Linked DNA regions of Danio rerio. Each later gene encodes a partner of the first gene's protein in a complex. Links are inferred from orthologs where the notes say so. Each region holds a gene or a part of one and is shown in the gene's direction. Other genes may lie near its edges.

What was found.
Region 2: pola2 (region 1) and prim2 share a complex: the UniProt entries of both Homo sapiens proteins name them as parts of the alpha DNA polymerase complex. The link is inferred for Danio rerio from reciprocal best matches to the Homo sapiens genes POLA2 and PRIM2.

The regions. Positions count from the first base shown.
Region 1 is NC_133183.1:19,039,696-19,044,073, reverse strand, and holds the start of pola2 (DNA polymerase alpha subunit B), read left to right. Parts: upstream 1-1,304; 5' UTR 1,305-1,404; intron 1,405-1,632; 5' UTR 1,633-1,673; coding exon 1,674-1,755; intron 1,756-2,890; coding exon 2,891-3,015; intron 3,016-3,715; coding exon 3,716-3,801; intron 3,802-3,891; coding exon 3,892-3,949; intron 3,950-4,378. Other genes in the region: dimt1l (dimethyladenosine transferase), read right to left, coding at 1,047-1,104. UniProt on the Homo sapiens protein: Accessory subunit of the DNA polymerase alpha complex (also known as the alpha DNA polymerase-primase complex) which plays an essential role in the initiation of DNA synthesis.
Region 2 is NC_133188.1:26,670,454-26,673,228, reverse strand, and holds the end of prim2 (DNA primase large subunit), read left to right. Parts: intron 1-1,757; coding exon 1,758-1,970; 3' UTR 1,971-2,157; downstream 2,158-2,775. UniProt on the Homo sapiens protein: Regulatory subunit of the DNA primase complex and component of the DNA polymerase alpha complex (also known as the alpha DNA polymerase-primase complex) which play an essential role in the initiation of DNA synthesis.

The DNA.
Region 1 (4,378 bases):
CAGATATATACAGTTGAAGTTAGAGTTATTAGCCCCCTGTATTATTAGACCCTGTTTATTTTTTTTCCCAATTTCTGTTTAACAGAGATATTTTTTTCAACACATTTCTAATTATAAACATAATAGTTTAAATAACTAATTTCTAATAACTGATTTATTTTATCTTTGCCATGATCAAGGTAGATAATATTTTACAAGACATTTTTCAAGACACTTCTACACAGCATAAAGTATTATGTTAAATAGGTTTACTAGGCAGGTTAGAATAATTAGGCAAGTTATTGAATAACAATGGTTTGTTCGGTAGACTATTGGAAAAAATATATATAGCCTAAAGGGGCTAATAATATTAACCCCAAAATGTTTCTTTTTAATTAAAAGCTGCTTTTAATCTGGCTGAAATAAAACAAATGAGATTTTCTCTAGAAGAGAAAATATTATCAGACATGCTGTGAAATTTCCCTTGATCTGTTAAACATAATTTTTAAAACATTAAAAAAAAAGAAAATATATATAAAACTCTGATTTAAGCTGTGTGAACAATTACAAACGTATATGTGCAGTGGACATGTACAATTCAAGATGAATTAGTTCAACAAAGTGCAATGAATACGTATAAATATTAAATAGTGCAGTGTTTATGGGGAGTAAGACCGACTGTTTTGCTTTGGGACATCACTGTTGTGAGAAAACTGAATATACACAGTAAACATATAAATATACTGTACATTTCCTGGTTTAATTTATAAATGTTAACTGGTGTTTTAGAGGTGCAAATACTGTATAAAATAAGTCAAAACAACTGGGATTAATTTATATACATGAGATGAATGAAAGTAAACATTTTGGACCTAAAAATAGCTATAATGCCTCCTCTTCTGTTTTGGAGTAAGAAGTGACCAGGAAGTGTTACTAGCAAGTTCTAAAAGGTTTATATTATTTAAATTTTAAATATATTACAGGTTTAACTTTGATTATTATATCTATAAGGGGACATTTGATTAAATGGTTTGACAGCATGCAGTACTAAAACATTTCAAACCAACCTTGACTCTTCACCTCCTGGTGTGTTCGAGACTTCTTCTCGGCTTTAACCTTCGGCATTTTGACAAATAATATCAGCGACAGTGAAAAGTAAGATGTAAATCACAAAAATACTTATACGTTTACAGCACCACAAACACGTGTAGAAGCTACAGGGTTTATTCTGTTTCCTTTCAGCTGATCTGGGAGGAAATTCGGTTGCGGTTGACCTTGCGCTCCCTCTGCCGTTCTGGAGGAGACGTGCAGGAACCGGAAGTGACCTTTCAGTGGGTTTTGCGGGTAGTACATTTTCGCGGCAATCCGAACGTGATGCAAAGACTGCTGAGGAATATGACAGCTGATTTTGACGTTTAATAAAAGGTAATCTTGTCATACAAGTCATTAAAACGTGTTCATTAGGATTGTCTTATTTCGAACTTGCTGTTATGTTGAGTAAAACTGTTTATAAAGCTAAATAAGTGAATTCGCGAGAGCGCCATTGTGTTTACGTTAGTATTTAGTGAGAGACTTAACATTTCTGACTGTTATAAGTCCGTTTTAATAATTGTGTGGTGTGAATGTTTTTGAAAAACCTGTTTTCTTTTTTAGGAGGTTGTTTTTTTACATTTGAACATCAGAGGACAATAACAATGGCTTCAGTCACTGCAGAGGACATCAAGTCTGAGCTGGACACTTTCAACATAGCCTTCAACAATGACACCATCGACAAAAGTAAATGTCCAATCTATTCATTGTGTGTGATTTTAGTATTGTTGACATGATTTAATGCTCTAAAATATATGCATCTCTTAATTTTAAACACACAAATATACATGTATGTGGTTGTGTGTTTGTAGGCAAGTACTTACAAATACACATTGAGGTAAATTTGGTTTTATGTTCACACATTAGGACTTTCTCCTTAATAATAATAACTTCAGAAATTATTTATTGCAAAAAAAAAACTGAAATCATATTAGCAGCAAATGACTATCAAAGTACAACATTGTTTGGAGTCAAATAAATAGTACCAGTGTTGTTTTCAAGTCATGCTTACATGTGATTTTAGACTGAATATTCAAATTACCATGCAGAGTTTTCAACTAACCCAAGTGGTTAAGATATTTTCTTGCTCTGCCAATATTTTTACTGGCCCCACCCAAAAAAAAAATAATTGCTATTTTTTTTAGCCACACATTTTAAAGAATGTGTCAAAAATAATCTAAGATGTATATATTTTTAAAATGTATTGTGAGCAAAATTCAAAGTGTTATGCAAACAAATAGAGCAGTATGGAAAATGTGCCGGTGTTTTATTGCAGCTCTACATTATTTAACAAATGGTGGCTGACTTGCCAAACTGAAAACTAACTGTGCAAACATTACTTCATTTTTTTCGTTGTGTTGTATCCACATCTGCTACTAAGAATTTAGAAACAAACGTTTTCGTTTAGCCTCATAATTTTATGCTACCGCCTCGTCGCTGAGACCAGAAACAAAAAAAACATGCTCACAACATCTAGTCACATAAGAGGACCCGAAAAGCAATATGGTGTTTTTGATATCACAGAGAAGGTAGCATTTAAAGGCTTAACAGCACAAACTGTTTCTCGATTCTAAGACTGTATTTCGACGCAATTGACATTGTCGCAGGCAAATTAAACTTTAGTAAGCACTGGTACGATTGGGCCAGTAACAATCCTGTCTACTGTCCTGAGCATTTCACACGCTGGCCTGGGCCATCTTCTTGTTGAGCCCTGCCACGGTGAACAATAAAGGGAGCATGTCACAAGTTGTCACTGAACGAATGTGCGAAAAACTTTACCTCAATTAAATACACATGACTTTTGTTTTTTTTTCTATTGTAGTGTTGGAGCAGTGTTTTTGTCACAGGCTGACGGGTGAAGAAATTGTATTCGAGTGGTTTGCTTTTAGCTCCACCAGAAAGCAGCTGCCGCTCACTCTCGAAAACCTGGACCAGTTTGAACAAGAAGTTAGTAAAATGACATTAAAAACTCCAACTGAAATTCTGCAGTGCTTTGAGATGCCAAAAATAAGATCCACAATGTTTCTATGCTTCATTTGCTTTAGAGCTAAACAATACAGTATTCCTGTATATCTTTTCAGCATTGATATTGCAATGTGTGAATCCTCAGTCACATTACATAGATATGCAATGTTGAGTTGACTTTGCGGTGTAATTTATTTTTACATTTACATATACAAAACCATAAAGCTTGCACTGTTTATTACACCTTTTTTTGCTTTGTTGCATTTATCTATGCCTGTAGTGTACTACATTTTATGCGATTTACTCCCTTTTAAAATCATCCCAATCAAACAGATATAATACATTTGTTAACACTTTAGGGACCAATTCTCACTATTAACAAATTGCTTATTAGCATGCTTGTTGTTGATATATTGGCTTCTTATTAGTTCTTACAAACAACCACAATAACTATTAATAAGGAGCAAATTAGGTGTTTATTGAAGCAAAAGTCATAAGGGTTTGCTAAGAGTGAGAATTGAACCTTAAAATAGTGTGACCAAAAAACTATTTAGTCATTTGGTGGAACTGTATAGCATCAGTGTATCGCAATGTACATTACAGACAAATAAAATATTGCAATGTCAAATTTTTCTAGGATTGTGCAGCCCTAATTTGCATACTGCTTCTGCACTCCTTACAGGTACTGAACAAGAAGAAAAAGCCTAAAAGCACCTCAAAGGGAAGCCAAATAAACAAAACCAGAGACATCAACTCCATCCAGGAGCTGTATCCTCATAAAGCTCAACATAAAGATTAATGATTGTTTAATTTTTATTCATAAATGTTCAAAGTGATCTTCTTAACTGAGTCTTGCAGAATCAGAGCAGAGGAGGAAGAGGAGAACATGCTGGATTCCTATTCAACACCTGCCAAGGTGAGACTAAATAAAGACAGAATAATGAGGGAGACTTGTTGGAAATGTATGAAGATAGATAAAAATGCATGGTCTGCAAGTGTTTTTCAGTCACAGATTAACCTCCGGTTAAAGGTTACTGTGGCTATTTTAAATTTCATAAGGTTCCTTTTACAGCATTGATGATGTGATGTATTTAAATTATAATCAGTTAAACAGACGTAAGCATTCATTTAGTTGTTCAAGTGTAAAATTGATTGGTTCGCCAGGAGCAGCAGGCTAGTGCAGAAACTTAATTAAAATACTGGGGTAACATAAATTTCCATATTTTAAGACACCGCATGGAACAATGGAATTTAATGCAGTGCTTCTTGTCCAGTCTGAGACCCACTTTTTAATATATGAATCAGGCAGTGAAAATCATTAATTTTTACAGAAACCAGAATTTAA
Region 2 (2,775 bases), on another chromosome or scaffold:
AGAGTGAAGATTTCTTCAACACATTTCTAAACATAATAGTTTTAATAACTAATTTCTAAATAAACTGATTTATTGTATCTTTGCCATGATGACAGTAAATAATAGTTGACTAGATATTTTTCAAGACACTTCTATACAGCTTAAAGTGACATTTAAAGATGAGTTTATTAGGTTAACCAGGCAGGTTAGGGTAATTAGGTAATTCATTGTAAACCGATGGTTCTGAAGACTATCGAAAAAGAATGGCTAATAATTTTGTCCTTAAAATGGTGTTTAAGAAATGAAAAACTGCTTTTATTCTAGCCGTAATAAAACAAATAAGACTTTCTCCTGAAGAAAAAATATTATCAGGCATACTGTGAAAATTTCTTTGCTCTGTTCAACATAATTTTGGAAATGTTTAAAAAGGAAAATATATATATATATATATATATATATATATATATATATATATATATATATATATATATATATATTTTTTTTTTTTTTTTTTTTTTTTTTTTTTTTTTTTTTTTTTAATTAATTTCTTCATTTTCGCTTTTCATTTTCTGGATTTAGGATTTAATATAAATTTGTTGTCAAAATAATGTAATTACTTATTAAATGTTAAAATTAAATGAAAAAACTAAATGTTTAATGTTTTAACGCTTTGTCAAAATTAAATGTAACCATTCCCTTTATTTCCGATCCATGATTACTCCTTTAAAAGAAAAATCAATAAACGTTTATTTTTATTTTATATATATATATATATATATATATATATATATATATATATATATATATATATATATATATATATATATATATATATATATATAAATTTTTTGTATTATTATTTATGCAATAACAATAATTAGTATTAGTGTAGTGTATAATACATTATATATTTCTATCCGTTTTTATTTTTGGTTAAACTTAAATTAAAGAGTTGTCATGAAAGTGCTTGAGTTGATGATATTAAAGTTTTTCACACATAATTTTGAAGATCAGTCTGGGCAGCTACTGTATAGAGATGAAGTTCCTCTGTTTATATCCTCATATTGAGACTGGAGACACTAGCTATGTTTCCATCCACCTATTATTATCTGCATTTTGGATATGCGCATAAAAAATAGTTGATGGAAATGCCAAGATGCGTATCAATTTTCAAAATGCGCATAAAAATGTTTGCGCATAACTGGATAATTAGCATAAATGTTTTGTTCGATAAGAAGAAATGCGCATAAACTGTGATGGAAACATATTAATTAAACAAACTTCAGTATACGCAAAAAAAAAAGTTATGTGATTTTGTTCTGTGAGATTATATGATGTTAAAATGTGTGAATGGAGAAACCAGCATCTGAGCACACGGTAAAACATCTGAAATGTTGTTTTGGTCACTTTAAAATGCAGTAACTGTATCAGTATTCAGTATTAGTGTTATATTATTAATGACCTCCAGAACTGTCAAGAGCGTCTGTGCCCCGCGTCTCACACCTTCAAATGATACCACATGTTCATTGCATGTCGGCATTGTCTAGTGAGGAGCAAGTCATTTATTAAATAAAGTAAAGATTCATGCAGCTTTTGCTGCAAATTCCGATTTTACTGTTGGTATTTGGCACCAGTTAATCAGGAAGTGACTATTTTGTTGTCTTTGGATGGAAATGCTGCTTTATTGCGATATTCTAGTTTTGCAAATAAATTTAATTAGCATTTTTGGATGGAGCTTCTGTCTTCTGCTTACATTTTGTCTTGTTTGTTTGTTACAGGTTGAGGATGCTGGGTTTTCTCTCAATCATCCAAACCAGTACTTCACAGAGAGCCAGAAGCTTCTGGGTGGAGGCCAAGGCATCAAGAAAGAAGTGGAGATGTCACAAAAAAGCCAAGAAAATCCTCCCAGTGCGTCCCGTCCATCTCAGGCAAACCCTAAACAGGCCCAAGAGGAGATGGGGGATTTAGACTCCTTCTTCCAGGATGAATGATTTTGTAGAACCTAAGGAAAATACAGGGCTCTTACTTGTATTCACTGTTTAAGACACAAACTGTCTTTTCAACATTGAAAAACTTGCATATGTCTGTTTTTACCTTGTCTTTATATTGATAAGATTCTTCTCAAATGACATGTTTTTACCAAAAAAAAAAAAAAGAATAAATAAAAGCACATTAAAATTACATAACATTACTTAAGTTTTATTTTTTGTTACAAAGTACTGAAATCTAAAAAAACCAGGACACACCAAGTTAAAGGTCACCCATTGGGCCTTTCTAAAAATATAAAACAGTATACTGTTATTCATCAAGAATCCATTAAATTGGTCAAAACAACTGTAAAAACATAGTTTCACAGAAATGATTGGAAGTAAAATGAGGCTGTAACACGCCAACACTGCTGAGATGAATATATAAGTATATGTGCTGTTCTCTTTCTTCTGAGTAATCAAATAAACACAAGAAAAATGACAGCAGTGAGAAATGGGTTTGAAAATGAACATTGCAATATTGGTTCAATCAAAAAGGTGCTATTGAACTCATAATTGTGTCTTTCCAACTCATTAATCTTCCCAGTGGAACTTGAATAGCAATGGCTGCTGAAAATGTAGGAATATGGCTGTGTTTAAATGAAAATATCTCATAGTTTCACTCACAGTACTAAAAGGTTTTGTTCAACAAAAATGGCAATAGTTGAATCACTCTCGTGTTGTTCTAAACCCCTAGACCTTCATTCTACTTTGAAATGCAGATTAAGATGTTCTAGATTAGGGGTGCCCAAACTCTGTCCTGGAGGGC